Oryctolagus cuniculus: one gene and its partners. The protein of the gene in region 6 binds, or shares a complex with, the protein of the main gene of each other region. Links are inferred from orthologs where the notes say so. Each region holds a gene or a part of one and is shown on either strand. Other genes may lie near its edges. The genes, in order: TFDP2, TFDP1, LIN52, OGT, LIN54, RBL2 and MYBL1.

Evidence for each region.
Region 1: RBL2 (region 6) and TFDP2 share a complex: the UniProt entries of both Homo sapiens proteins name them as parts of the DREAM complex. The link is inferred for Oryctolagus cuniculus from reciprocal best matches to the Homo sapiens genes RBL2 and TFDP2.
Region 2: RBL2 (region 6) and TFDP1 share a complex: the UniProt entries of both Homo sapiens proteins name them as parts of the DREAM complex. The link is inferred for Oryctolagus cuniculus from reciprocal best matches to the Homo sapiens genes RBL2 and TFDP1.
Region 3: RBL2 (region 6) and LIN52 share a complex: the UniProt entries of both Homo sapiens proteins name them as parts of the DREAM complex. The link is inferred for Oryctolagus cuniculus from reciprocal best matches to the Homo sapiens genes RBL2 and LIN52.
Region 4: the proteins of RBL2 (region 6) and OGT are in contact, whole or in part, in a crystal structure (PDB 4XI9), measured with the Homo sapiens proteins. The link is inferred for Oryctolagus cuniculus from reciprocal best matches to the Homo sapiens genes RBL2 and OGT. Residues at the interface, in NP_001310537.1 of Homo sapiens: Thr417, Pro418, Val419, Ser420, Thr421, Ala422; in NP_858058.1 of Homo sapiens: His506, His508, His509, Asn567, His568, Pro569, Tyr642, Thr643, Lys644, Gln849, Phe878, Val905, Ala906.
Region 5: RBL2 (region 6) and LIN54 share a complex: the UniProt entries of both Homo sapiens proteins name them as parts of the DREAM complex. The link is inferred for Oryctolagus cuniculus from reciprocal best matches to the Homo sapiens genes RBL2 and LIN54.
Region 7: RBL2 (region 6) and MYBL1 share a complex: the UniProt entries of both Homo sapiens proteins name them as parts of the DREAM complex. The link is inferred for Oryctolagus cuniculus from reciprocal best matches to the Homo sapiens genes RBL2 and MYBL1.

The regions. Positions count from the first base shown.
Region 1 is NC_091435.1:139,715,996-139,720,482, forward strand, and holds the start of TFDP2 (transcription factor Dp-2), read left to right. Parts: upstream 1-1,520; 5' UTR 1,521-1,830; intron 1,831-4,487. UniProt on the Homo sapiens protein: Can stimulate E2F-dependent transcription.
Region 2 is NC_091440.1:466,247-469,805, forward strand, and holds the end of TFDP1 (transcription factor Dp-1), read right to left. Parts: intron 1,937-3,559; coding exon 1,789-1,936; 3' UTR 705-1,788; downstream 1-704. UniProt on the Homo sapiens protein: Can stimulate E2F-dependent transcription.
Region 3 is NC_091451.1:20,252,922-20,257,764, forward strand, and holds the start of LIN52 (protein lin-52 homolog), read left to right. Parts: upstream 1-1,740; 5' UTR 1,741-1,948; coding exon 1,949-1,979; intron 1,980-4,843. Other genes in the region: ALDH6A1 (methylmalonate-semialdehyde/malonate-semialdehyde dehydrogenase [acylating], mitochondrial), read right to left, coding at 1,327-1,374.
Region 4 is NC_091453.1:51,331,733-51,336,561, reverse strand, and holds the start of OGT (UDP-N-acetylglucosamine--peptide N-acetylglucosaminyltransferase 110 kDa subunit), read right to left. Parts: upstream 3,283-4,829; 5' UTR 2,979-3,282; coding exon 2,942-2,978; intron 1-2,941. UniProt on the Homo sapiens protein: Catalyzes the transfer of a single N-acetylglucosamine from UDP-GlcNAc to a serine or threonine residue in cytoplasmic and nuclear proteins resulting in their modification with a beta-linked N-acetylglucosamine (O-GlcNAc).
Region 5 is NC_091439.1:82,901,731-82,905,781, reverse strand, and holds part of LIN54 (protein lin-54 homolog), read right to left. Parts: intron 3,487-4,051; coding exon 3,413-3,486; intron 3,267-3,412; coding exon 3,069-3,266; intron 958-3,068; coding exon 866-957; intron 1-865. UniProt on the Homo sapiens protein: Component of the DREAM complex, a multiprotein complex that can both act as a transcription activator or repressor depending on the context. In G0 phase, the complex binds to more than 800 promoters and is required for repression of E2F target genes.
Region 6 is NC_091449.1:36,933,554-36,937,604, reverse strand, and holds part of RBL2 (retinoblastoma-like protein 2), read right to left. Parts: intron 2,765-4,051; coding exon 2,659-2,764; intron 1,379-2,658; coding exon 1,173-1,378; intron 764-1,172; coding exon 599-763; intron 1-598. UniProt on the Homo sapiens protein: Key regulator of entry into cell division. Directly involved in heterochromatin formation by maintaining overall chromatin structure and, in particular, that of constitutive heterochromatin by stabilizing histone methylation.
Region 7 is NC_091437.1:92,240,638-92,244,688, forward strand, and holds part of MYBL1 (myb-related protein A), read right to left. Parts: intron 1,356-4,051; coding exon 987-1,355; intron 1-986. UniProt on the Homo sapiens protein: Transcription factor that specifically recognizes the sequence 5'-YAAC[GT]G-3'.

The DNA of each region.
Region 1 (4,487 bases), on a different chromosome or scaffold from region 6:
ATAAAGAGACCCTTGGCTACAGCGCCTCAACAGCACCCACCTCTCTCCACATTAACCGAGGCACTTTCTGGGTCTGCTTCCATGAAGGTGTTTCGCACACCATATTGGGGTGGTTTATGAGCTGTGCCCCTGCTACACTGAGTTCCTTGAACTGAGTGGGAGTGTCCGCAGGCTTGCTCATTGTATCTCTAGTGGTAAAAGGTTTTTTTTTTGTTTGTTTGTTTTTAATTGAGTTGAATACATCTACTAGATTTTTTGTGAAAACTAAAGAATTCCTTCTGGATTTGTGGCTGAAAATGTAATCACTCCTCTGGGGATCTGCATGTCACAGTCAATCAGCAACAGGCAGCATCCGGCATTCTTGGACTCCGAGGACTTCACCTCCCTACTGTGATGTGGCAGGCCAGTGTCTCGACACCGCACCCAGATCCAAAGGTGATCTCCTGTCTCCCTCAAGTCCTTTATGTGTTTACTTAAACGCGTCCTTAGGATCTCCTTCCCTGTCCACCATGCTTAAGGCTGAAGCCATCCCTCCCACACACACTCTGCTTACTGTTTTTCCACAGCTCAGATCAGCAGGTAGCATCGTTTTTATTTTGCTTATTTCTTTAGCTGTCGTCTTTCCCACCGCACTAGAATGCGGGCTCCACGAACGCAGTTTTTGTCTCTTTTTGTTCACAGAGGTATCTCCAGCACCTGGAACAGTGTTCCGCACGTGGGCGATTTATAAAATTTGAGCAGAGCGAAATGAGAAAGGCCTATCGTTGCAACACTGTGCCCTCACACCTCACTCCATCAGCAGGGCAGCTCCCATCTCTCTCTCCTCTCTCAACCTCCACAGCTCGGTCCACGCGGAATTTTCCAAATCAGCAGAAAACGAACAGACACAATCTTGTAACGCTAACCTACCGACCCTACAGGAACAGGTGTCTGGGGAAGCGGGCAGCCCCGGGGCAAGGCGGCCTGGCTTTGTGTGGATCCTAACTCGCCTGGCTAGGGAAGAACCTCCAACTCCCCAGGAGTCTCTCACTCATCGAATACTTTCAAGGCGCTCCACGGCTGGCCCCAAGCACTGCCTCACCGCTTACTCCCGCGACTCCTCAAATGCGAAGGATCCAGATGCACCTGCCCCACTTCTCCCGCCTCTCAAACAGCTGCGATCTTCCTGCTTCGTGGGCGGACCTCGTGGGGGAGTTAGGGGCGAGAGGGAAGGGCGTGTTTCTAAACTTTAGGCTTCAGGCCTACAGCTTGTCCAGCAATCGGAGCTGGAACCAAGAGCCCGGGCCACCGCCACCTACCCTTTGGGCAGCCCGGGAGAAACTTCAGGGGTCGGAGCGCGGCGCTTAAAGGCTCCGCCTCTTCTTCTCGTGCCCCCTCCCATCATTGGGCAGCCTGGGGGCGGGGTTTGTTTACTCTTTGCACGCACCGCCGGGACCGGCCAATCCGTGGGGAGCGGCGCCCTACGTCACGCCTCTCACCGGCCAATGGCCGTGCATCGTGCTGCTCCGCCGCCAAAGCTCGCGCGGGGGAAGCGGGGAGGCCGCCGAGCCGAGTGCGGGCTGACGAAGTCGGCAGCGCTTTCGGCTGCTGTGCGGCCGCTGTCCGGCACGCGGGGCGCGCCCTGACCGAGCCCTGAGGGCGCGCGCGGGCGCGAGGTCGGCGTGCCGGGGCCTCGAACTCCTGGGGGCCTCGACCGGGGCAAGGCCGCGGCTGCCTGGGTGGGAGTCCGCCGGGACCCGGGCGCCAGAGGATCGGCGGCGCCCGAAGACGCGCCCCCGGCTCGGCCCTGCAGCCTCGCGCGGCCGCCGGGTCCTCTGCAGCCGAGCGGCGGTAAGGTCCGGGGCGAGGGCGCGGGCCCGCGTGCCGAGGGCCTCTGGACCCGGCCCGGCGCGCTGCGTACGCCGGGGGACCCCCGGGAATCCCACGGGCTCCTCAGGCCTGGCGGAGTAACCCTTGAGTGTCCGGGCGAGACTGGGCAGGCAGGGAGGTCACCCTTCCTCGCGCAGCCTGCAAACTGGGGGAGGTGAGGTCCCTGAGTCACGCCTCGGCGAGGCGGGCAGAGGGTGTCTTCCCCCTTCCCGTCCTGGCCGTAGGGAGCGATGGCTTCGGGTTCTGGCTGCTGACTTTGCCCCCTGCTTCGCGACCCCCCGTCTGCCTCCGCCAGGGTTTCGTTGTTGTTTTTAAGAGTTGGGAGGCTTTGTGTGTACCTGTGCCCCGTAAGGGAACTTTGGCATTGCTCTGTGGGCCCAGACGGCTGGAGAAATCCCGGAGAGCCGAGGTGCCCGTCCGCCGGGCAGCGGCAGGGTTTGGGTGGGACCGCGCCGAGACGCCGCGCGCTCGCGTTGTGAGGTCTCCGTCTGCTCGAGCTGGGGGACCTCGGCGTGGGCGCCGCCGCCGAGGGAAGTCTGGGGCCGCCTGGGTCAGGGACGCCCGGGGCGCGAGCTCGCCGCCCGGCAGCGCAGGGCACGAGGTGGGCACCCTCGCTTCTGACTGCCGCGAGCGCGGGTTCGCGAGAGGATCCTTTTCTCTGCCCCTTGCCCACTCACCGCCGAAGCTCCGCCGAAGCCCGGAACGCTCTCCTCTTCCGTTTCCCTCGCAGACGGCTCAGACGCCCTCTGCCACCTGCTTGCTTGCTTCAGTGGGTGCGTGGCTCCTTCTCCCCCATCTCCCCTCTCCCCCCATCTTCCCTCTTCCGCCTTCTCCCCTCTCCCCCAGATCTTAGTTTCATGACTTTTCCTTTGATTTCTATTACCTAATTTTTTCTGGGTCACTTGTTTTTCTTTTCTCTTAATGGTTTCATCTTAGTCATTTTGCCTAATAAATATAATTGGAATTATTCACCTGTTCTCTAAAAGGACATAATCATGACCCTACCTGTCTCTGTTCAGAATCAGAGTAGTTGAATCTGTGTTGCATCTTGCTGTTCCATGTCGTTGGCTGGCCTATGGTTTAGCGAAAGCTTTATCGCTATCACATTACTATAATTAATCTTTAATGACAGTGTCCACTCTCAAATAGCACCAGGAGAAAAATCAAATACCCAGACCCCAGATTCTATCGCACTTGGGCACTGGCACTGGCTGTGTTTGTTGTGTGGTAGAACATCTTGTGCCTGGAACTGGTCTGGTCTAATGGCAGCCATCATGGCTGGGAGCACTGCCCTGGCATACAGTTGCAGCAGTGTGGTACTTGTACAGAAAGGCCCAAGACTTACTCAACTCTTATTTTCGAGTTCTCTTTGTTTCTAGTTGTTTGTTTAAGAAGGAAAGCTGAATTTCGCTAGTGTGTGGCATGACCATTTTGTGATCATGCAGTTGTACCCCCCCACCACCACAGACCCCTTCTTTGGAATGTGTAGCACAGTGAAGTATTCGCACTGTGGCCAAAATGCTTATCTGGGCTCTGTGCTTTTAGTGTGACTTGAAATGGAGTTTATACCCCCTGTAAGCCATCATCACTTAAATGCTTATTGTAACATGTATCATAGTAAATCTCAGAGGAATCTAGAAAACATAAGTTGAGAGTTCTTTGAGATCAGAATTTTAAGTTGTAATAGATTTTAAAGATTATTAAATTGTTAATATATCAATTCATACTTGAGTCTTTTCCATTTTAATCTGGGATCCGTAACACTCTAGTATATTTAGAAGTAGATTTGTGAACCCTTAGAAACTTTTTTTTTTTAAAGATTTATTTATTTATTTGAAAGACAGAGAGAGAGGTCTTCCATTCACTGGTTCACTCCCCAATTGGCCGCAACAGCCGGAGCTGCATTGATCCAAAGCCAGGAACCGGGAGTTTCTTCTGGGTCTCCTGTGTAGGTGCAGGGGCCCAAGGATTTGGGTCATCTTCTACTGCTTTCCCAGGCCGTAGTGGAGAGCTGGATCAGAAGTGGAGCAGCCAGGACTCGAACTGGCGTCCATATGGGATGCTGGCACTGCAGGCAGCAGTTTTACCCGCTACGCCACAGCACTGCCCCCCCCCCAGAAATTTTCTGCAAAATTACGTACATTTGCATGTTTTTATGAAGACATGTTCATAATTTCTGAGGCAAAGGTATTTGGACAACTTGTTTTTTTTTTTAAAGATGTATTTATTTGTTTAAAAGGCAGAGTGCAGAGAGAGAGGGGAGAGATCTTCCATCTGTTGGTTCACTCCCCAGATGGCTGCAATGGCCAGGGTGGAGCCAACTCAAAGGGGGGAGCCAGGAGGCTCATCCAGGTCTCTCATATGGGTGGCAGGGCACCAAGCACTTGAGCCATCTTCAGCTGCTTTGCTAGGTACATTAGCGGGGAGCTGGATCAGAAGTGGAGCAGCCAGGACTCAAACTGGTGCCTCATATGGGATGCCAGCGTCACAGGTGCTGGCTCCAACAACTCTTAAGTTTTATAAAATAGTGGGGCCAGCACCGTGGCTCACTTGGTTAATCCTCCGCCTGCGGTGCTGGCATCCCATATGGGCGCAGGGTTCTACTCCTGGTTGCTCCT
Region 2 (3,559 bases), on a different chromosome or scaffold from region 6:
GCTGGCATCCATGTCTCCCCTCTTCCAGTGCTGCTCTCTCCCTGGGGCGTGCTGTGCCCCTCCCTCTACTCAGTTCTCCTCCCCTCCCCCCAGGTTGCTCAGGCCCAGGCACCGGGCTGCCTGTCTCCATCTGGTCAGCTCCAGGATCTCAGCTGGCTGTGACTGTGCTGAGGCCGCACGGAGGTGCAGGCCACCCTCTGGATTTCCCTGCATGCACAGCTGAGTGTCTTGGTCTCCAGAGGGGGTAAGTGCAGGGGCGGGGGCTTCAGACACAGTGGCAGGGCTTGTCTCCTCGCTACTGACCAGAGCACAGGCCTGCCCTGGCTCCACACTGTGTGCACCCGTGTGCACCCATGTACCCATGTGCGGGCTGTGCCAGCACAGCAGGCAGCTGCCTGCCAGGGCTGGGCGGGGGCTGCCGCTGAGCGAGGAGCCAAAGCTGAACCAGAAGTGACGGCCCTGAAGTCGCGGCCTCTCCAGAGCCCCAGAGCAGCGAGGAGGCGGAGCCGCGCCCCACCACCTGGTGCTTCCTGCTCCGACTCCTTTCCAGAACCTTCCATGCTGTCATTCCTTTCTGAAGGGGAAACCTGTGGAATTCGTCTCGACCTTTAGGGCTGAGGAAGAGGCCAGGGAGCGCACGTGCTGTGAGCCGCAGGGTGGGGGGAGGGGCCCTGGCCGGGAAAGTGAGATGGAGCACACAGAGCTCGTTGAAAATGCCCATGCGCGTTTTATTAATAAAAACTAACAGTGCCGAGTTAAACAAGTCAAACAATTAAAGTCTCTTTATATTCCATAAAATATTACAGAAAAGTCTATTTGTGTTTCAATAAAAAGACTATCGTTTCAGAACAGGCAGCTGACAGCAACTGAGCAGTTAATGTTTCTGTGAATAAATCTTAAAAGACACTACTGCCTGTCCTTAATTTCCTTTTCTCTTTATAAAAAAAGAACTATTAAAAATGATTGACAAATTTTGAGTTAAAAAACTGTTAAAACATTCTCTATGTTTAATTTCAACTTTATAATAGATTACGGAAGATGCTCAGGAAACAAATCCCACATTTGTTTCGGTACGTGTCTTTAAATGACAGACTCATAGGTATGTAAACAACTATTTAATAAAAAGTTTCCAAACGCAGCCTGTAAGAAATCAGGCAAATTTTACCATAAGCAACAAACCTTCCAGAGTTTCCGCAGCCGCCCCAGCGGGCAGTAAACGTTGCCCAGCAGACCAAAACGACAAACAAAAAGAAAGAGGACTTTGCAATTTGTTGCTGCAATAGAGAGAGAGAGAGAGAGAGACGTCAGCTTGATGGAGTCACACCAGTCAGTATAATTTACGGAGCACACAGTCACGGCAGGACGCATGGCGCTGAGTGTTCGCTTCCGTCTTTGGACATCGCATGATTCACAAGAGGAAAACGCATCCTGCATCCGCCCCCCGCCAGCCCGACGCAGGGCGCCACACGCCGCCGGCGCCCGCGGCCACGGCAGGAGAGCGTCTTATTTTCATTGATGTGGATGAAGTAAGATATCTTCAGCAAACTCAGCGAGAGCTGTGAAGGGGCAAAAACGGACTCTGAACTTTAAAAAGAGCTAGAAACGGAAAGCAGACGCCTGCAAAGCGAGCAGTGCCCTGGCGGCGGCCTGGGGCCTGCGGGGCCCTCTCGCAGCTCACCAGCATCTTCTTGGGGGAAGGCCAGAAAGAAACAGAAAACCCCACGCTTAAAAAAAGTCTCTTCCCTCGCCGGCTCCTGAAGCCGGATCTGCGGGGAAGGGGCCGGGACGTCAGTCCTCCTCGTCATTGTCGTTGAAGTCGTCGTCGTCCTCGTCGTCCTCCCCAACGTAGGACACGGGCGTCTCCACCCTGGAGCCGCTGTACTGAGACCCGTTGGAGCTCGTGGCCAGCATGCCGTCGGCACCGTTGGTCAAGTCGCTGCAGGGACAGGAGGCAGACGAGCGTCAGGCACGGCCTCCACCCAGCCTGGCCTCAGCCTCAAGGGGAGATCGAGTCCCACAACATGGAACCCAGCCCTGCAGCCCCCGGGCCCCCACCAGCCCCGTCCTCCTGAAGCGGCTGTGCATGGCTCAGGTCAGGCCCCAGGTGAGAGAGAAGCCACACATGCACAGGCTCAAAGACGGCAGCCACGGCAGGTCAGGATGCCCGGGTGAGGGGCAAGACCACCACCTGGCAACAGGGGTAGCACCCCCAAAACCTGCCACAGCCCAGAGCTGCCAATGTGACCGACTGAAGACGTTTCTCCAAGGGTCGAAGTCAGGACAAAGCAGTTAAGCTGCCCCGCTCCCCCACCACGTCCAGACCGCATAGCGGAGTGCCTGGGGCTGACTGAGTCCTCCCCGGCCACGTGCAGACCACATAGCGGGGTGCCTGGGGCTGACTGAGTCCTCCCTGGCCACGTCCAGACCGCATAGCGGGGTGCCTGGGGCTGACTGAGTCCTCCCTGGCCACGTCCAGTCCGCATAGCAGAGTGCCTGGGGCTGACTGAGTCCTCCCTGTCCGCATAGCGGAGTGCCTGGGGCTGAGTCCTCCCGCGCCATGTCCAGTCCACATAGCGGATATAGTGGAGTGCCTGGGGCTGACTGAGTCCTCCCCGGCCACGTGCAGACTGCATAGTGGGGTGCCTGGGGCTGACTGAGCCCTCCCGCACCACATCCAGTCCGCATAGCAGAGTGCCTGGGGCTGACTGAGCCCTCCCGCACCACGTCCAAACCGCATAGCAGAGTGCCTGGGGCTGACTGAGTCCTCCCCAGCCACGTCCAGTCCGCATAGCGGAGTGCCTGGGGCTGACTGAGTCCCGCCTCTGCTTCTGATCCTGCTCCCTCTGATACACCTGGGGGGCAGCAGCTGACACCTCAAGTGCTTGGGCTCCTGCCACCCACACTGGAGACCTGGATGGAGATTCCTGGCTCCTGGCTCTGGCCTGGCATTTGGGGAGTGAACCAGTGGATGGGAGACTCCTCTGTCACCCTTTCAAATAAATAAATAAATAACTGTAAAACACAAGCGAAAGACTCCACACAGGCAGGGCAGCATTAGGTCTGGTGGTTAAGCCCCGGCTGGCCAGGCCCTTCACGCCCCAGACAGTGACGGGCGGAGTCCCAGCTCCCACTCCTGATTGCAGCTTCCTGCCAGTGTGCACCTGGGGGGCAGAAAGAAGGTGGCCATGGAAGACGCAGACTGAGCGCACGGTGCCCAGCTTCAGCCCAGCCCAGCCCAGCCCCACGCACTGTAGGTGCCTGGGGAGTCAACCTGGGAGTGGAAGCAGCCTGCGCCTCCTCCTCCCCACCTCTCAGTTTTAAAAACGTTAACGGTTAACACAAAGCGATACTGCAAAGCATGAGCCACGCAGGTCAGTGAAACCATGGTTTGCTCTGTGGACATTCACTGCAGAAGCTCCTCACAGCACCAAGTGGACACAGGGACAGCTCCTGCTCTGTGGCATTGCAGACCAAAGGTCAGGGCACGTCCACGGTCATCACAAAGCCCCTTCAGTAACAGCAGCGAAATGTGAAGTGAGAGAGACCGGAGAAGGAGACG
Region 3 (4,843 bases), on a different chromosome or scaffold from region 6:
ACCTTCAATGGGAGTGAGGCGGAGGCAAAGGGAAAAGCCAATTTTAGTCAAAGATTTGAAGGAGAGGCTGGTAATGGACAAAACAGGGTGGAAACTGTTTTCTTGCTACTAAAAAGAAAAAAGCTGCTAGAGCAGAACTGGAATCAAGGCAAGAAATAAGAGTGAAGCCAGCCCACCCGGCGAACCCCTCCATCTTCCACACTGTTCCATTAAACAGTGTATTTATAAATATGAACCTTTGCTGATTCTGCCAAGAATCTTAAAACTGCTTCTGTTTTTGCGGAAGAACTCAGGGAAACACGGTACATAATAATAATAACCTAAAAGCCCAGCAACACAGAGAAGTTCCCCGTTTGAACATAAGGAATAAGAAAAGCAGGTTTGGGAATCCTGCCTACTGTAAATATTGCCTCACTGTGCAATTGCTTGCCAGGCTAGGAACAGAGGGGAAAGCTACTCAGGGTTGGAGACTTGGAGACGACAGGCCTGGCTGGAGACAGGACCCAGTCTCCCAGGGGCAGATCGGAGGGTGTGCCGGCACACGGAGAGCTGACGTTAGGGGGGAAGCTTGGAGCTTCTCGCCTTTCTTAGCTTCATTCTCTGTCGCCTGTTTTAGAGATGTTTAGTCCCCTGAAGGGACTGGAACAATGCGCTAGCAGAACTTCGTGCCCTTATTTACTTGCAACATGAAAACTGTAAATTTATTGAGACAAAGTTTAACAGAGTTAAACTTTGGCAAGAACGCCTCCGGGTTGTGGGAAATGCAGAGCCAGAGTTGGGGAAAACAGCTTAGCAAGTGTCTGCCTGTGGTGAAAACCTGGTGCACACTCCCAGAGCGAGATTCAAAGTTCACTCGCTGACCCTCGCCCCTCGAGAACCCCCTCCCTCCCTTACCTCGGTTCACGGGTGGGGAAAGGGAGCCATTTGGACGCTCCTGGCGGGCGAAAGAGCTCTAAGAGAGGGGAGTTTATGCGAGAAAACGAAGTGGCTGGTGCAGAAGTGACAGGGAAAGGCAGTGGGCGGGCCGAGAGGTGACAGCAAGAGTGGCAGCAGGGACCGGGTAGGGCTGAGGACGGTGGGCGAGAGCCAACAAGCAGGAAGCCCCGGAGTAAACGGGTGAAAGTCCCGGGAGGCATCCAGACTAGGGGAGGTACGGGGTGGGGGTGGGGGAAGGAGGAAACTAGGCCGCTGGGCTGGGAGGGGAACACCAGGGTCGGCCAAGAAGGGGGCTGGGCCAAGAAGTCGGTCCCGCCCGAGGATGGCTCAGAGTGGACGGAAAGCATCCAAGTCCCAGCTTCGTGGTCCCTCGGTGCCACCCTCACTCGCCTGCAGGATCCGGGCCCGCACTGCCGCCGCCACCACCACCGCCGCCATGGTTCTCGGCCGCCTCTTCTACGCTCCCCCAGCCTCCACCGCCCGCGCTAGCCAGAAACACTACAGCTGCCAGGCCTCCCCCTCCATCCTGCCCGACCTTCTCATTCGTGGAGAGGAGCATTTCCTCTGGCCAATCACTCTCTAAAACACCTGACTCCACCCCCGCAGGCCTGCTCCTGCGGATATGTGATTGGTCAAAAGCGAAAGCGCTCTCGCCCCCTCCCACCTCAGAGAATTCTATTGGCGGAGGTAGGGAAGACGCCCCTACCTGGGTACTCTGTATTGGACACGGAGGGGAGACGCCCCCTAACCTGGAGTTCTGATTGGCTACAGCCACGACCAGGGTTCCACCCCCTACCGAGGAAAGTAAATAAGACCCTCCAAGAATTTTGCAGTCGCTCCGCCTCCGCAACAGCACGAGGGGCAGGGCTGTCGCTAGGGGCGGGGCTAGGCAAGGACTGTCCTATGGGGAGGAGAAACGAGACTGGGCTGCGAGTTGGCGATAGGGTTTCGCTTTGGGGGCGTGGCTTAGGGGTCCTCGCTTTCCCGCCGACGGTTGGCCACGTCACGTGACATGGGTTGGAAGATGGCGTCTCCCACAGACGGTAAGAGCCGGCTTAGAGACCCTTGGCCTGCAACCTCCTCCTTTGCTCCCATTGAGAACTTCCACTCTCCATCTGCCCCTCGAACGTACACTTCTTTCTCGGGAACCTCTCCTTTCCCTTTTCCTTGGTTTCACCTCGCCGGTTCTTCACATCCGCTGAGAGGCGCCGGGTTTCCCCGCTGTGTACCCTGCAGGTGGAGGAGAGCACCCACGTAGGGCAGAAGGACAGTGGTCTCATTGGCCCTCCTTTTTCCCTATTTGGCTGAAGTTGAGGGACGAGGAGGAGATACTGCTGAGAGAAAGGAGGTGCCTTGTTATATATAGTTTTCTGCTCCTCCGGGTGCACCGCTGATGTATCATCTCTGCTCGCACTGAGCACTGATCGAACTATCCTCAAGTCCTAGCTGGGTTGGTGGCCGACCCCGTCCGGGGACTGAATTGCAAGAGAAGCGGGGACCTTTTCGTCCCCTCGCCGCGAGGGTCCCCAGGAAATGACAGTTGAGCTCTGCTTTAGAGTAGTTTCGCGTACATCTCAGTCTCTGCAGGGGCCGCTGTGTGTGCGGGTTCCCCTGCCTGGATGTTGTCTAGGACGCGAGGTTTTGGTGTATCAGCGCGCTGTTGTGCTCCGATCTGCCCTAGAGAGCTAGGGTCTTGCGGGCTGCCCTTCCATCACCCCATCCCCAGGTCAGGTTCATTGATGTGCAATTTCCCCTCCTCGACCACAGAGTGTTTTTGGAAGAAATCTTGGGGAGGGCGTTTTTTTTTTTTTGCAGAGGTTTCATATTCTATATTGACACCATTGAAGAAAAATGAAACAATAACGAGACATAAGATTGGCAAAAATCAAAAAGACTAATGAGACCGGTTTTGTTACAGGTTGTCAGACGACCACATGAAAGTGTAAAGCAGTACTTCCTTTTTACCGAGTGACATGGAGATTGCTATCTAGATTACAGGGTTGTCTGAGTTTGAATTTCAATACCCTAATTATGGATTCTTAAATTTCTTCCCTGGAAGACAATTTGGCCTCAGGCCGATTAGCAATCTAAAGGAGGGGGTAGGAAAAAGCACCTAAGATCTCTTCCGCTGTCTCCTGGCTACCCTGGTCAACACCAGAGCAAGGTGCTGAATGGCTCACTGCAGAGATGATGGGACCTTGCGGGAGTTGTGTGGGGGTGGTCTACAAAATGGCTGCATCTTGGAACAGCTTGGTCAGAGCATGCCATTAGGGGAGGATTGGAAGACTGGATTATTGCGTCAGTTGATGGCCCCAGTGCCAGGAGAGGAGAGAGGTATACCAGCCTTCCCATGTGTGCCTCATTTTTACTCCAAATCTGACACCGATCATCCTGTCAAAATATTATGGGCTTACTCAACATATATGAAAGGCGTTAATACCAGGTGCTTCCGAAAATGTAAAAACGAATCAAACATGTAAACTTTTTTTCTCCCAGTTCCAGGTTTCTTTTAGATGTTGTTCCCCAAAGAGGCTTTTCCAGAACACAGTGTTGGAGTTGCCCCTCTCCCCTGTTTAAATATCTCAGTATCTTCACTGATGGCATTGTTATTCTGTTAGTTTTTCCTCTTTCACAGTAGATTATAAATTCCAAGTCTGTCTTGTTCACAGCTGAATCCTGGGATTCAGCAGCACAGTGCCTGATTTAGCATCTTAAGGCTCAATTAACATTTATTGAATCAAAGAATATATAGAGAGAGGAAATAATGTTTTGCTTGACCTTAAGTTTAACTGAGTTGTAACTTTTTGAGCATAGGTACATACTGTGTAAGAAATTGTGAATAATAGGGCCGGCGCCACGGCTCACTAGGCTAATCCTCCGCCTTGCAGCGCCGGCACACCGGGTTCTAGTCCCAGTAGGGGCCCCGGATTCTGTCCCGGTTGCCCCTCTTCCAGGCTAGCTCTCTGCTGTGGCCCGGGAGTGCAGTGGAGGATGGCCCAAGTGCTTGGGCCTTGCACCCCATGGGAGACCAGGATAAGTACCTGGCTCCTGCCTTTGGATCAGTGCGGTGCGCAGGCCGTGGCGGCCATTGGAGGGTGATCCAACGGCAAAGGAAGACCTTACTCTGTCTCTCTCTCTCTCACTGTCCACTCTGCCTGTTAAAAAAATAAATTAATTAATTAATTAAAAAAAAAAGAAATTGTGAATATTTAGAATCAGACAAGATTCTGCTAAATCCTCTGGCCAGAAAAAGAAGCGGGGAGGAGTTATTTTAAAAGTCAGCCAAAGGAGTCTGGTGCCGTGGCTCAATAGGCTAATCCTCTGCCTGCGGCGCCAGCACACCGGGTTCTAGTCCCGGTCGGGGTGCCAGATTCTGTCCCAGTTGCCCCTCTTCCAGGCCAGCTCTCTGCTGTGGCCCGGGAGTGCAGTGGAGGATGGCTCAAGTACTTGGGCCCTGCACCCCACGGGAGACCAGGAGAAGCACCTGGCTCCTGCCTTCAGATCAGTGCAGTGCGCCGGCCGCAGCGGCCATTGGAGGGTGAACCAACGGCAAAGAAAAATCTTTGTCTCTCTCACTGTCCACTCTGCCTGTCAGAAAAAAAAGAGTCAGCCAAAGGAATGGGGAGTTTTTATTTCATGGGTGCAGAGCTTTAACTTGAGAAGGGGAAAGGGCTCTGGTGGACAGTGATAATGGTTGCACTGTACTAATGTACTTAGTGACACTGAGCTCTAAACAATTTAGAAGTAGAGGTACTTGCTCTTAAAATGTTCAGTCTATTATTGTTTTTATGTTTATGCATGTAAGTCTTTGGAGATTTTGGGACTGCGTTCTTTATGTTTGAATTTTCCCCGTGTCCTCTCAATTTCTTTCTCTTTCTTCAGCCAGGAAGAGTATTGGAAACATTTA
Region 4 (4,829 bases), on a different chromosome or scaffold from region 6:
ACATTTTATAACAAAAAATACTTTTGTGCTTTTTAAATTATAAAACACAGGTAGTATCTAAAGATTCACTAAACATCATTCCTTACAACTTATTTAACATACTGGGGGGAAAAAGTGGTTGCAAAGGTCACAAAGATTTAATAATGTCGGAATAATCTCCTGGGAAACTTAATACTTTGTCCAAAGTTTTAGGTTGGATTTCTGTGAGACGGAGTATTGGTAACTATCTCTTTTTTTTTTTTTTTTTTTTTTTTTTTTTTTTTTTTTTTGACAGGCAGAGTGGACAGTGAGAGAGAGAGACAGAGAGAGAAAGGTCTTCCTTTGCCGTTGGTTCACCCTCCAATGGCCGCCGCTGCAGCCGGCGCACCGCGCTGATCCGATGGCAGGAGCCAGGATCCAGGTGCTTTTCCTGGTCTCCCATGGGGTGCAGGGCCCAAGCACCTGGGCCATCCTCCACTGCACTCCCTGGCCATAGCAGAGAGCTGGCCTGGAAGAGGGGCAACCGGGACAGAATCCGGCGCCCCGACCGGGACTAGAACCCGGTGTGCCGGCGCCGCAAGGTGGAGGATTAGCCTATTGAGCCACGGCGCCGGCCCTGGTAACTATCTCTTAACCTAGGTGGGAACGCCAGATGTTTCTTACTCTTTAAATTATATTGATATGCTTCTATCTTTCACAATTTAATGTTTTAAAATAGCAACACCAGAAACAAGCCTAAGATTGGGAAAAAAAAAAAACTAAAAGTCAAGGTGCTATTTTTAAAACAGCTGATAAACAAGATGTATTCATTTGTCAAGAGCCAAAATATTTAAAGGGATCATCAAACATTTTAAATAAAGCTCCAAGATTATACTGCTCCTCTATCATTCCAAATTCACAAGGAGACTAAATTAGGTAAATCCCACCCATGCTAGTTTAGCACTAACATTTTCCAAGAAGCTCTGGCACTGACTATAAGATTTTATTACAAACAACCCTATGTAAACCAAGCAGTTACCTACAACTGCAATGGTTTAAAAAAAGGTGGGGGGGGGACACTCAAATATAAAAGTTGATAAGGCACAACAGAATGAGTAACAAACAAAAGCACTTTGCTGTGACTTCATTCAGATACATAGAGGGTATATATAGTTAAAGCCCAGAGATGGGAAAAAAACTGCCTAAGGCTCAATAATAAATACTTTAAACAACAGTGATACAGGACTGGGCGTTCACCACAACACTTTCGATAGAGGAGTGGAATTCGAAACCATGGACAAATTACTTAATTCTACCAAGGTCACAGTGACATGATCAAATTTGAGCCTGGCTCCCCCAATCATTAAGGCTGAGGAGAGTTCTGGAGACCGGGAAAGCAAAGTAAATTTCCTGTCAGAAGGCACATCTGACCACAAACAAGACAGTCTTGCATCCAAATTGGGGGAGGGAGGGTGGTATAGCTCTACTAGAAATTAGAAAATTACATTTTAGACAAGTCCCTAGAATTTCCTAGCTCCTTATTTTTAACACGTTACGTTGATCACTTTTTGAGCCGCTCATCTATTTTAACACTTGACCCAACTTCCTCAAATAAAATTAACACTTATAGAAAAGGGCAAGCTGGAACAGAATCTAAAATCTCAGAAAATCACGATGGGGGAGCGCGGAGAGCTCAGACTAATTACTCCCACTAAGATACTATTACAGATTCACCTATTACTTCCTACACAATGTCCAAAACAGGAACTAAAACCCTTGATCCATCTCAACTAGGAAAAACCAAAAGAAATAACCTCGTGGGAAACCTTAGAAGCGCAGTCCAATTCCCCACCCCCGCACGCCCCAAATAGCCTCAATATGGAAAGGCAGCCGAAGGACACTCCTAGAATTTGGTTGTTCTCTTATTTTTAGCACCAAATGCTCGCAACTGAATTGTCTCAAAGGGCAACAGCCTTGTATATTGTACAGCTACACTCCAGTTGCTTTACAAACTCTTCAAGCAGGGATGGAAACTTAAAAAAAAACATATATATATATATACACCCTATGAATAAAGAGATACCGAGCTAAAGAATGGGAATGGAAGACCCAGAGGCGGCGGCGGCGGTGGCGGAAGAATACATCGTGAAAGTAACACAAAGCGAGAATTGGGCGGGCAGGGTGGTCAGCGCCAAAGCAACACTATTGGGGTGGTTTCTCCCCCGGGGGTAGGAAGTGGCCCGAAGGGCTGGCAAACCTCGCGAAGCAAAGGGTGTGGTTCCTCGCGGGCGGAGAGGGATCACAGGGTGGGAAAATACAGGCTGGGGGCAGCGGGTGGAATTGGGCCCTGGCAAAGGGAATCCCTGGAAATTTCCAATCGAAACTGGGACCGCTCGACCGAAAGAAAGCCGGAAAGGCGCTGCCCAGCGGGGAGCTGCCCAATGTGTCTCGTCTGGAGGTTACTTATAACAGTGACGAGCTTTTGCTAGTCCTTGGGTGATGCAAAGAGGGAATACGGTTACAACGGAATAGCACCCCCGCCCTATACCGGCAAAGAAGAACGAAATCTGGCTAGGTGCAAAGGGCTGTAGGAGGAGGTGGAGAGGAAAAAGGAGAGGGCTACGGGCTGGAATCTGGGGGGGAAACCGGTTGCAAAGGAAAGTGGAAGGGCAGGGATTCCAATGCAGTCCATTCCAAGGCATTCTAAGCGCGCACGTGCAGGAGAAGTATCCCGAGAGAGTGAAGGGCTAGGACATTTAAAGGAGGGCAACAAACAAACCAAGAAAAAAAGCAAACAAGCACTAAAGAGGAAATACTTGAGCAGACGACAGCACAAAATTCGAGATGTCAGCAGACCACGAAAAGCTCAGCGCTGCTACTGATGCAATGGGGATGGTTAGAAGGGAGGGAGGGAGTGATGAGAGGAGAAGACGGCGCGAGACCCCAAAAGGGAGTCTGACAAGGTAGAACGGGACACCGGTACCTGTGCTGTCGGCCACGTTGCCCACGGAAGACGCCATCTGGAGCTTCTTGAGCGAGAGCAAAAAGGGGGTAACTGACTCTCACTGCCGCCACTACGGGCAAGAATGGTTCTGGAGGTAGTAGTAAGAGGGCAGCAGCCGTACCAGAATTTTGGAAGGCTTAAGTGGTGGCGGCAGTTACGGACTTGGAACCTTAGGAACTCTGGTTGGCCGTCTACCTCTCACGGTCTTGAAATGGCGGCGAAGGCTCCTCGGCCGAAACAACACGGGCCGGAACTACTTTCTGTTACAATCAAGTACCCGGCGGAGGCAGCGCGTAACCAGAGCTACAGACCCAATGACTACAATCAAAGTCACTTGCCCTCCTGTAAGCTTCCGCGCAAGGCCCATTGCGACAAACAGAATTGTGCCGACAGCGCATGCGAGCAACCCTGTCAAGCGGGCTCCCTGTTAGAGCCCTCGCTGGGGCAGGACTGTTCAAGTGCTTTTTGAGAGTAAGGCGGAAGAGTGAAAAATATCCATGTACTCACTGGTTACATATTTGCCAAAGTAGTATCACTTGGTTACCTAGCTAGTGAAGTACATTTTAACAGCAATGCCAAAGGTGTCCACAAAAGTTTAAGCAACTTTATCCAAGTCAAAAAAAAATATTTACAAGGCTGATGGGCCAGTTCTGAGCAAATACATTTAAATGACTGTATTTCAAAGACAAGCTGTTCTTTAAAAACGGTGGGAGACAAGGGTTCCAATTGGAACACGCCTTAGTTCTGACTCCAGCCCTAGGTTTAAGCACTTTGATGAGAAAGGCATACTTTTAGAGGGCCAAATGAACCCAGACATCCTCTGCTTTTAGCTACATAGCCCGAAATTTCAAAATCGTTTTCCTATTCAGGAGAGTTCTACCCATGGTAATCGGACAAATGCTTAATAACTCAGGGACACGATGAGTTTGCACTCCAAAAGCAGCCATAAAAATGTTAAAGATGATTCATTTTCGTCCAAATCCATGACTCTCCTCCAAGTTGTGACTTAATGTCCACCAATTAGCTCTGCAAATTGTCACAAGGCGATTGTATTGAGCAGAACAGCAATAAATGTATTCACTTACCATCTGCAAAAACCACACGTCTAGAGTCAGGAATTGCTTCCACTTCCTTGAACAAATCAAGTCCACCGTTCAGTTTGTCACATTGGTATTAATTTATAATTCATCTCTTCTTCCAGAAAGGATTTCGGGTAGCTTGCTACATAAACAAGAAATTATCACAAGCCACTAGAGGTTATAAGTTGGAGCTCTGAGAGCCTTTGTATTTCAACAAGTCCTTGATCTAAGAAAACATGTTAATGAATGTCTTCAAAAAGTTTCTGCGACCCAACCCCTTGTCTACATTTAAAAACTAACAAGTCCTCAGATTCTGCTTCAATTTCTTCTGAGCAGTCAACAAACTTAATCACAGCCAAGAGCACAGAGACAATTCATAATATATGTTAATTTCTTCTATAATTAATTAAGAGATGTCATGCAGTTAAAAAAAAGACAATGTTCACTACACAAACTCTTCTGGAAATTGCGAACTGACCTCTTTGTGTCCTTTCATGTAACTGGTAACCTCCCTCCCCACTACAAGTGCCCCATTTGTAGTGAATAAACTCAGCTTTTCCGCTTTTAGAACACACTTCTTCAGATTCCACTGGCAGCTGTTTAGGCCTTACTGATTAGTGGGTGCTAGTTAATTAGGTAAAACTCTTCTCGTTAAATGCCAGGTCATGGTGCCGGTCAAGTAGGCTATTATGGACAGGGTTCCTTGTCCTCAAATTTGTTTCTATGAAAAGCTGCACAGTAGGGCTCACAGAGGCTCAGTACAGAAAAACCCCTTACTGGAGTCTCAA
Region 5 (4,051 bases), on a different chromosome or scaffold from region 6:
GGCTAATCCTCCGCCTTGCGGTGCCAGCACACTGGGTTCTAGTCCTGGTCGGGGCGCCGGATTCTGTCCCGGTTTCCCCTCTTCCAGGCCAGCTCTCTGCTGTGGCCAGGGAGTGCAGTGGAGGATGGCCCAAGTACTTGGGCCCTGCACCCCATGGGAGACCAGGAGAAGCACCTGGCTCCTGCTGTCGGATCAGCGCAGTGCGCCAGCCGCGGCGGCCATTGGAGGGTGAACCAACGGCAGAAAGGAAGACCTTTCTCTGTCTCTCTCTCTCACTGTCCACTCTGTAAAAAAAACAAAAAAACAAAAAAACAAAAAAACAAACCACAACACCCTGTTCACTGAAGGGTCGGGGCTCTCAATTCAGACCCCCTGCGTTGGTGTTGACTGAGAGCCCAGGCCCGGACCTGCAATAAAGCTCTCGTGTGCTTTACAGCGGTATCGGCTCCTTGGTGGTCTTTGGGGACAACTGAACTGGGCATAACACTCTTCCTTCTGAGAAAAAAGTTCAAGCTTCCTTAAAACTCTCAGGGTTCAAAGATAAGAAGTAGTTAAGGTAAAGAGGTACACAGAGAAACTGGAGGTGGGGGTACGGCCTGGTGCCATGTAATTAACTAAGCACTGCATCCAAACTGGTATTGCTAAGGCAGCAATTAGCAGATTAACAAACAACAGCAACAAAAACCCAAGGACCCAACATAACGATTTACAAACAGCATCCTCATGGTAAAACGCTACTCAGAATGAACAATAAAAATGTGGTACAGCTGATGAATCTGCCACAGGGCACTAGAGCTGGGTGATTATTTAAGTATACATTTAAGCCAATTCAACAACTTCACTTAGATATTTTCAAAATACTCACCCATTGAACGGGAGCCTTGCCTGGGTCTGCACACCAGATGTGCCAGTGAAGTTCGAGTTGCTTGCTATAGACACATAGGAAGACTGCTGGAGCTACAGGTAAAGGAAGGTGACTTTAGACCATATTTGCAAAAACAGACTATCCTCTCACATATAATCACCAGGAAGAAGCCCAAATTCAGCTACTAACATAGGAAAAGCATAATGGAGAATTTCATACAAACACTTGCCTGTGGAGTTCTCTTAAAGACCCTCACCAATTCTAGAGGTGAAAATAATGTGAGTATTTGACAGTACTATGTGGTACAAATACAAGAAATTATTTCCTAGAGAAGTATGTCAGAAACTCTTGATGAAAGCCCTCAAAGTATTGCAATGCTTGTATTGGCTAGACCAATGCAATGTGCCTATTTGCAAATAAAATAGATACTACACTGATTGTCCCCTTACATTTTTTTTTTTTAAAGATTTATTTATTTATTTATTTGAAAGTCAGAGTTACACAGAGAAGCAGAGGCAGAGAGAGAGAGAGATAGAGAGAGGTCATCCATCTGCTGTCACTCCCCAGATGGCTGCAACAGCAAGAGCTGCGTCGATCTGAAGCCAGGAGCCAGGAGCTTCTTTCACGTCTCTCACACAGGTGCAGAGGCCCAAAGACTTGGGCCATCCTCTACTGCTTTCCCAGGCCATAGCAGTGAGCTGGATCGGAAATGGAGCAGCCGGGACTCAAACCTGTGCCCGTATGGGGTGCCAGCATGGCAGGCGGCAGTTTAACCTGCTACACCACAGCGCTGCTCCCCCCTACATTTCAAATCATAGAGAATGCATAATATTTTCTACTGATTTCTAAACTTTAGAAATGTCAATGATAAAAATATGGAATCATTATTCATCAGTAGCCACATTTCTCCAAAGTGCATTTCAGTATACACGTTAAGTTTCTGTTTCTCTCTCTCTCTCTCTTTTTTTTTTTTTTTTTTGACAGGCAGAGTGGATAGTGAGAGAGAGAGAGAGAAAGGTCTTCCTTTTGCCGTTGGTTCACCCTCCAATGGCTGCCACAGCTAGCGCGCTGCGGCCGGCACACCGCGCTGATCCGAAGGCAGGAGCCAGGTGCTTCTCCTGGTCTCCCATGGGGTGCAGGGCCCAAGCACTTGGGCCATCCTCCACTGCACTCCCTGGTCACAGCAGAGAGCTGGCCTGGAAGAGGGGCAACTGGGACAGAATCCGGCGCCCCAACCGGGACTAGAACCTGGGGTGCCGGCGCCGCTGGGTGGAGGATTAGTCTATGGAGCCGTGGCGCTGGCTCTCTCATTTGTTTTTAAAATATTTGTTTATTTGAAAGGCAGAGTTACAGAGAGAGGGGGAAAGAGAGACAGAAAGAGACAGACAAAAAGATAGCCTCCATCCACTGGTTCACTCCCCAAATGGCTGCAACGGCTCAGGCTGGGCTGACCAAAGCCATGAGCTTCTTCCACGTCTCCTATGTTAAGTGCAGGGGCCCAAGCACTTGGGCCATCTTCTGCTGCTTTTCCAGGCAGCTTAGCAGAGAGCTGGATCAGAAGCAGAGCAACTAGTATATGAACCAGTGTCCATATGGGATGCCAGTGTCATAGGTGGCAATTTAACTCACTGCACCACAACACCAGCTCGTTTCTCTTATAATCTGGGTCGATCAATTCAATGCTTTAGATGACGGTGCTAATTTGCCTGCACGCATGAGACTTCCATGTGCTTCATGGAAGCAGCACCCCCATCCCAAGCCAGCCAGCTAGTACCTGACTTTCCTCCTAAAGACAACCAGATGAAAGGGTCAGATCAGAAAGCAAGTCACCCACAAATGCGTCTCACGGCTTATCTTCCAGGCAATGTCAGAGCCATCGTATTTGTGTCTTTACGATAGTCATTCTTAAAAATTCATTTGGGCTCTGCTGAAATAATTTCAGTGTTATTTTTTCTCCTATCTATACTATTACCCTCATCAAGCTGTTCTTAGGTCCCAACTATCTTACTCCTGTATCTGACTTGTATCATATATTTCTAAGTGCAGAAGACACACAGAAATAAACCCAGAAGTTTTGGCTGACATTTTCAGATTTTGAAAACAGCATTTTAATACCGAGTTAAGCTTTAGAACGTGATAGTGCTAGACATCTGAGACTCAGTTCTCCTTGCTGACACACAGTGGCTTCATTTTTCCCGCATACCTGAGTAACGTACTGAGCTGGAAGCACTGCATAGCCCACGTTCCCTGTCCCTGGAGCTGGTGCCAGCACAGTGCCTGGTGGCAGGTTGGTGAGGTTGGGTTGGATCTGTGGCAGTGGTGTGGCAGGCATGATTAACCGCTGCTGGGGCTGGCTAGTAGTCACTATTTGTGAACTTGGATTGATTGGCTTGGGGACGACCTAAAAATAAGGGAAACATCAATAATAATACCGTATTTTTACAGCTGCTTAGTTCAGTAGAAGTCTCTTGCACCTAACTCCTAACTTTCAATGTGAACAGTAAATTGTTTGGAAGAGACTGAGAAGAAAAGTCGCATGATACTCACTTGTTTGACAGTCTGAGCTGGAACAATTGGAACTGACATCCGCACTGGGGTAGTATTAACAACCACTGGCTTTGCTTTTTTTTAAAAAGGAAAAAAAAATGAACAATTTATTTATAGAAATAATACTCAAAACAGTTATAAATACTTAGCTTTCTTGTGTTATCTTCATGAAGGAGCTAAAGAATTCCACTTGTTTCCTACTATGAGCAATCTCTAATCAGGATAGTGGTTCAAAATCGATCCTCCCGAGGTCGCTGCAGTCTATCCACTGTAAGAGGGACTCTTTCGGGGGCCCGCACTGTGGTGCTGAAGCTTAAGCTTCCACCTGCAGTGCCAGCATCCCAAACAGGCACCAGTTCAAGTTCCAGCTGTTCCACTTCCAACCTAGCTCCCTGCTAACGCGCCTGGGAAGGCAGCACAAAATGGCCCAAGTATTTAGGCCCATGTACCCACATTGGAGACCCAGCTGGAGATCCTGGCTCCTGGCTTTGGCCTGGCCCAGCCTCAGCCATTGCAGCCATTTGGGGGAGTGAATCAGAGGATGGAAGATCTCTTTCTCTCTTACTCTACCTTTCAAATAAATGAAATAAATCTTAAAAAAAAAAAAAAAAAAAAAAAAGAGGCTTTAAAGTCCTAAGA
Region 6 (4,051 bases):
GAGTTGTGCCTTTTCCATTTCTGGAATTTCAATAAGTAGCCTATTGAATCTAGTGTCTTTCCTCAAGCAGGAATGCATCCGAGATTCAACTATGTTGCTGAGTGTATCAGCAGTTTCTTTTTACCACAAAGTCATCTTTATATACACTTTCTATAAGTGTATCTTTTTATTGCAAAGTCATGGTTCACTGGATGCCCTGCATCTGTTACCCATCTGGTGGATGTAGGTTGAGTTCCTGGTTCCTAGTGGGCATTTGGGACTGTGTAAGCTAGACAGTATCATTCTTTGCCTCTCAGAAAAACATTTTGGTGCAAACAACTGTAAAATCCATGCATGCTTTTTTCCATGAACTTTTTAAAGACTTATATACATGGACTCAAAAATGTTTGGTACTAAAATACACTTCTTGGGATTCCATTTTCCATTAACTTGTTAATATACACTTGTACTTCCAACCCTAAAGTTTTCAAAAAGAAGCCAGCGAGGCACAGTGTTTGCTCTGTTGGGACTGAACTGGTCACTGCTGCCTGGCACTTGCATCACTGCAGTGAGTGCCTGGTCTTAGGTTCATAAAGGACAAGACCGAAGTTATGCTCACCTTTGATGGGCTGTTGCTGAAGTAGTAGAAAATCTTTTCTCGAGGAGAAAGCATCGTTTCATTTTTATGTGGGGAAATGTATACAGGATGATTTTGAGACAACTGTATTCGGCGAGGAGAGCCTGTTCTTACAAACGGGTAGGGAGACAGTGGAGGAGCATCCATCTGTTAAAAAAAAAATCCGTTAAGTGTAAGACAAAGATTTCTAAACTAGATGTTGCTATTGAAAATAGTTATTTTATGGAGTTGAAGTATAAAAAAAAAACTAGTTTTATGAATGATAAACAGTGATGTATATATGAGGAGAAAAGAAGAACACAGAAAGTTAATTTCCAGGTCACCACCATGGTGGTTACAAATTAACAGTCTGAACTCATGGAGGCTGTCTTGTTCTACTGCACTTGGGAGGGAATTCAGATACAACCTTACTTTTGTTTGATGGTTAACAGCAATAGAAATTATATAGGTTAGGCAGATTAAGTATTTGTACAACTAGTTTATATGTAGAACAGGTCAAATGGATTCCTTAGTCCTCACAAGTGATAAAGCATGCGAAGATCCTTGTCACACTCACCACGTTTGCCTGTGAGTATTTCATGGCAAATGTTTTAATCTGCTTTATGTAGACGTTGTTGTAGAACTGGATGAGGTCGCCCCTCTCCTCCTCTTCCATGTCGCTGTTGGCGCCGGTGAGGCGGGTAGGTGTAGGGGGAGCGCTGCTAGGCTGTGGGACAGGCAGTGTGCTGCTTGACCTCATGACAGGACTCGAGTCTCTACTGGCTGCAGTGAGAGCAACAAAGCATGGGAAGCACAAAGACACTGAGTAAAGACTTAAGAAAATGCAGCGGGAAAAAGGCAGTTACCTGCACTACGTCTTAATGGCCTTAAGTGGGCACACTATTCTTCATACCAAGGAGCAGAGCTCAGCTAGTGTGATCACTGATCTACCCCCAAGCCATTACTCCAGCAAGGGCTTACTCAGCGGCTTCCACTAATGAGTTACACCAGCAGTCTAGGATCTGAGCCCTGCACCAAGTGGTGCAAACCAGCAACTAAGGATGCCATTCCCTTAGCCTGGCTCCAACCACCACGGTGAACCCTCCTGGAACTAGGCCAGCAGAGGCTTGCAGAAAACCTTCAAAAGCAATATTCTGCACAGTATGCTTCAAAGATACAGGCTGAAGGACAACTTTGCCACTAAATTTGGATTTGGGTTTACTGCTCCAAAAAAAACCTTGGCCAATAAAACACTTTCCATGTTTCTTCAGTAGACACTTAGTGAGACTTAGTATTCTAGGCCTAAAAAATAAGAAAAGCTCCATGGGCCGGCTCCGCAGCTCACTAGGCTAATCCTCCACCTTGCGGCGCCGGCACACCGGGTTCTAGTCCCGGTCGGGGTGCCGGATTCTGTCCCGGTTGCCCTCTTCCAGGCCAGCTCTCTGCTGTGGCCAGGGAGTGCAGTGGAGGATGGCCCAAGTGCTTGGGCCCTGCACCCCATGGGAGACCAGGAGAAGCACCTGGCTCCTGCCATCGGATCAGCGCGGTGCGCCGGCCGCAGCGCGCCGGCTGCGGCGGCTGCGGCAGCCATTGAGGGGTGATTCAATGGCAAAGGAAGACCTTTCTCTCTGTCTCTCTCACTGTCCACTCTGCCTGTCAAAAAAGAAAAAAAGAAAAGTTCCTAATGGGCCAGTGCCACGGCTCACTAGGCTAATCCTCCGCCTGCGGCGCTGGCACCCAGGGTTCTAGTCCTGGTCCTGCTTGCTCCTCTTTCAGTCCAGCTCTCTGCTGTGGCCCGGGAAGGCAGTGGAGGATGGCCCAAGTCCTTGGGCCCTGTACCCGCATGGGAGACCGGGAGTGGGGGGGACCTGGCTCCTGGCTTCGGATCGGTGCAGCGCGCTGGCCGTGGTGGCCATTTTGGGGGTGAACCAATGGAAAAAGAAGACCTCTCTCTCTTTCTCTCTAACTCTGCCTGTCCAAAAAAAAAAAAAAAAGAAAGAAAGAAAAAAGAAAAGAAAAGCTCCTAATGTTGTTTGGTAATAGTTCATAAGGATCCCACTTACTTCTGTCTCTGTTCAGTTCTGTTGGGGAATTCTGATGGCTTCTGCTATCACTGCTGCCAGAATTTCTTCTTTTTCTTTTCCCTTTTATCAAAACACTTCTATATACCTTTAGAAAGACAATCAGAAGGGGGCAGGAAATTATGGATCTTAACATATATCAGTTGATTCTCACAACAGCCCCATGTAGTCTAGTTGTCCTGCTCACGGGAAGTTAAGAATGCAGCCAATTAAATAGTGTATCTAGGATTTACATCAGCCTGTCTGGCTTTACTTTCAAGTACTGCCTATGGGGCTGCAGTGCAGTGACAGTACCCAACCAGAAAGTCAAATCATGCAAAGTCAAATGTAAATATCTAGCACACATGGGGCCGGCACTGTGGTATAGTAGGTTACGCCTCTGCCTGCAGTGCCAGCATCCCATATGGACACTGGTTTGAGTCCCAGATGCTCCATTTCCAATCCAACTCCCTGCTAATGGCCTGGGAAAGCTGTGGAAAATGACCCAACTGCTTGGGCCTCTGCACCCCACATGGAAGACCCAGAAGAAGCTCCTGGCTTTGGATCAGCCCAGCTCCAGCTGATGCAGCCATCTGGGGAGTGAACCAGTGGATAGAAGACCTCTCGCTCTATCCCTCCCTATCTATCTCTGCCTCTCAAATAAAAAAAATCTTAAAAAAAAAAAATCTAGCACACTTGTCTTTCAGAGACAAATGAATGGTATTAAAAATCAAGTGGAGGCTGGCGCTGTGGCTCAACAGGCTAATCCTCCGCCTTGCGGCGCTGGCACACTGGGTTCTAGTCCCAGTCGGGGCGCCGGATTCTGTCCCGGTTGCCCTTCTTCCAGGGCAGCTCTCTGCTGTAGCCAGGGAGTGCAGTGGAGGATGGCCCAAGTGCTTGGGCCCTGCACCCCATGGGAGACCAGGAGAAGTACCTGGCTCCTGCCTTCGGATCAGTGCGGTGCGCTGGCTGCAGCGCGCCGGTGGCGGCGGCCATTGGATGGTGAACCAACGGCAAAAGGAAGACCTTTCTCTCTGTCTCTCTCTCTCTCACTGTCCACTCTGTCAAAAATAAAAAAAATAAAATTAAATTAAGTGGGTAGGGCTTGCTCTGTGGTGTAGAAGGTTAAGCCTCCACCTGCAGTGCCAGCATTCCATATAACTGCCAGTCAAGTTCTGGCTGCTCACTGGAAGATGGCCCAAGTATTTGGGCCTCTGAACCCACGTGGGAGACCCAGAAGAAGCTCTGGCTCCTGGCTTTGGATTGGTCTAGCTCCGAATGGTGTGTCCATTTGGGGAGTGAACCAATAGATACAAGATCTAGATCTCTCTCTCTGCCTTTCAAATAAATAAATAAATCTTAAAAAAAAAAATACATTTACATGGGTTTGAAACTT
Region 7 (4,051 bases), on a different chromosome or scaffold from region 6:
AAAGTTCAAGCTATTTGCCTTAGGATATAAGTGCCTTTGAGTTACATTCTACCACAGAATTTATACTTCAACGAAAGTTACCTACATGTTATTCCAGTACAAAATACTGCTAAGTGTGCCCAACCCTGTTTCACCCTCTCCAGAACGCTTTTTGACTATGAAGGCTGGGAAAAGGAATGGATGCACTATTCACAAGTAATATGTAAATAGCGTCCCCTGAAGCGGGTAGGGAAGGGACATAATTTTCAGAGATCAAAGTGGTGGTATCTTGCCATACCCTACTCATCTTCCAGGCTCAAAACATAACTCCCATAATATTCCAGTATCCTCATGCCTATTTGATCACCAAACTCCTTTCTTCCCCTATAGAGGTTTCTAAACTGTCAAAACACTTTTAGCAAACACTGCTCCATCTCTTACTGTGACCTTGGCCAAGATGCTCAACTTCAGAATTTTAGCCTGGAGCATGGCAACTGTTCAATAAGAAACCATTCTAACATAAACATCTGCTGCCCAAGGATATTACAAGAGGAGAAAATAGGTATTTCTGCATATGGCTGGAAAACCAGGTTTCTTTCAAGGAACATTAAGCTGGAAAAATCAATAGGTAAACTAAAGGCTAAATTACTCTAAATATATAAGGTCTTCTTTAATATCTGTTAAAAAGACAGTCAGGAAACGGTCCTCAATCTCAGCTCATTAGATAACTTTGGGCAAATCATTTTTACCTTTTTGGGTCTGTTTTCTGATGAGTCATTAAAATGTGAGATTACATGATAAAGAAAACTTTCATCTGAGCTCTAAAACTTACAGTGCACTCACGCTTTGGGAGATACCTCATGTATACACTCCCATGTATACATTTAAACATATTATCCATTGTTAGGTGTTAGGAAAACAACCAACTGCCAGAAAGGATACTAAAGATCTAATTTAATCCAGCTCATCAACATTTGGAAATATATATATAAAAACAAAAGTACTACCTGTGAAGGAGAAAATGGTAGTGTTTTCACTGGTGTGTGTTTTAGTGCTGTATTACCACCATCATTGAATGAGCCATCACCAAGTTCACTGCCTGGGGACTGACCCACTCGCATTCTTCTCTTCTTTCTGAGGATGGTGGGTGGAGTACTAAACTTGGCCACATTTGGGGATGTCAAAGGAACAGCCTCATTGTCTCCACCATTACAACTGTTTTTTTTCCCTTCAAGTACAAGACTGACATTAAATTGACATTCCATGGCTCCTTCATTGTGTTGGATTCGCATTAGTTTAACTGGAGTAGACTTGACAGGAGAAGCAGCAGCATCAGAAAGATCAAAACTGGTAACATCACTCCATGCTACAGGATCCTGCAATACAATTAAATTCTGAACTGAAGTTAATACTTTAACCTATTTAAGTCAAATCTTGAAAGGCAGAGCAACAGCAAGAGAGACAGAGAGACAGACAGACATTTCCCATCCATTGGTTCACCTTCCAAATTATCTGAACAGTTACTCATTTTTACAAACAGACTTTCCTGAGACATCCTTTTTAAAGCAAGATCATTTGGATTATTTGAGTGAAACAGATTATTTTTCTTTGTTAAAAGATTTATTATTTATCTTTTTATTTGAAAGAGAGAGAGAGAGTGATCTCCCATTTGCTAGTTCACTCCCCAAATGACTGCAACAGTCAGGACTGAAGCCAGGAGCCAGGAAAGGCCCAAGCACTTGGGCCATCCTCCATTGCCTTTCCAAGCAGGAAGCTGGACAGAAAGTAGAAGAGTCGGGACTCAAGCTAGCGCTCCGATATGGGATGCCAGTATTTCAGGCAGCAGCTTAACCAGCTGTGTCACACCACTGGTCCAGATTATGGTTTTCCTTTCAATTTGGGATATCCCAGAATATTTCATTTAATTCAGCAGATGAAGCTTACTATCAAAGTATTTTATATAGGAGAACAAATTATTTTAAGTCATTATCAAAGAGCACAATCCATCAGGGTGGACATTTGACTCAGTGGTTAAGATGCCCACACCCTATATTGGAGTGCCTAGGTTTGAGTCCTGGCTGCTTCAGATTCCAACTTCCTGCTAATGTACTCCCAGGGAGGCAACATGTTGTGGCTCAAAAGCTTGGGTCCCTACCACCCATGTGGGAGACTCTGATGAAGTTCTAGGCTCCTAGCTGTTGCAGGCATTTGGACAGTAAACCAACAAATGGAAGATCTTTCTTTCTCTTGCTCTGCCTTTCAAATAAACAAGAATAAATAAATTTTTCAAGTTTCATTTATCATAAAAATCACATTTGACTTCCTATCAGGAAAACTATCAAATTCTGTAGAGTCATTTGGTAATATGTATAGAACCATTTTAAAAATGGTGATACAGGAGCTGATGCTGTGGCAAATGGTTAATCTGTCACTTGTTAATGCCAGCATGCTGCATCAGAGTACCAGTTTGAGTCCTAGTTGCTCTGCTTCCAATCCATCTCCCTGATAATGTGCCTGGGAAGGCAGCAGAAGATGGCCCAGCTACTTGGACTCCTGCTACCCACAGAGGAGATCAAGATGGAGTTCCCGGCCAGCACCACAGCTCAATAGGCTAATCCTCCATCTGCGGAGCCAGCACACCGGGTTCTACTCCTGGTCAGGGCGCCGGATTCTGTCCCGGTTGCCCCTCTTCCAGGCCAGCTCTCTGCTGTGGCCCAGGAGTGCAGTGGAGGATGGCCCAAGTACTTGGGCCCTGCACCCCATGGGAGACCAGGAGAAGCACCTGGCTCCTGGCTTCGGATCAGCGCGGTGCACCGGCCACAGTGCACCGGCCGCAGAGGTCATTGGAGGGTGAACCAACGGCAAAAAGGAAGACCTTTCTCTCTGTCTCTCTCTCTGACTGTCCACTCTGCCTGTCAAAAAAAAAAAAAAAAGATGGAGTTCCCAGGCTCCCAGCTTCAGCCTGCCTCAGTCCCAGGTATTGCAGCCATTTAGGGAGTAAACCAGTGGTTAGAAGATCTCTTTTTCTTTCCTTTTCTCTCTGTCACTCTGCCTTTCAAATAAATAAAATATTTTTTTAAAAAAATGGTGATATACTTTGATCCAGAAATTCATGATTTTGTACAAAGCTTTATATAGATACATTCTGTTATTTGTAATAACATAAAACTAGATAACTAAATGTCCAAGAAGAGTATACTGGGTAAATTTTCTTGCATTCTTACGATTGAATGCTATAAAGCCATTAAAATTCAAGTTTAAAAAACAGGAACACGGAGACGTACTCATGATATAAATGAAAACCAAAAAAAGCCTGCAATCATAATACATAGGTATATATCTGCGGATTAAAATCTACATACTTTTATCTATCTATATACATATATACACACATAAGTGTGCGTGTTTATGTGTGTGTGTGTGTGTGTGTGTGTTTTGTGCATAGAACACAGAGTGAAAGGAATATATTAAATTATTAACTCTGGGAATAAAGGATTTTTTTTCCTATTTCTTATTTATTTGAAAGCAAAGATGGCTCCCATCCATTGATCCACTCTCCAAATACCCACAGTGGCCCAGCTCTGGTCAGGGGCTAAAGCCAGGAGTCAGGAATGCAACTCAGGTCTCCTATGTAGGTAGCAAGAACCCAATCAACTGGGCTGTCACCACTGCCTCCAAAGATCTGTGTTAGTAGGAAGATAGAATCAGGCATCAAACTGAGGTTCTCCAATGTGGGACATGGCATCTTAACTGGAATCTTAACATCTAGACCAACTGCCCACCTCTATGGAGAATTTTAAGTTTCATCTTCATAATTTTCTCTAGTTTCCAACTTTCTCTAATGTACTTATACAACTTATATGCTCATAATTAAAATTAAGTTTTTTAATCTGTAGAGATTCTATATAAGGCACACACTTAAGAAAAATTTAAACTTTTTCCTTTTTTTTTTTAATGAAGAACCACTGCAAAATAGAACAAAATTAAGCCTGGCATACAAACTAATGCTTAACATGAAACTGATCAATATCCTTTAAGCTGAGTTTCTGAACAGAAAAATACATAACTAAAA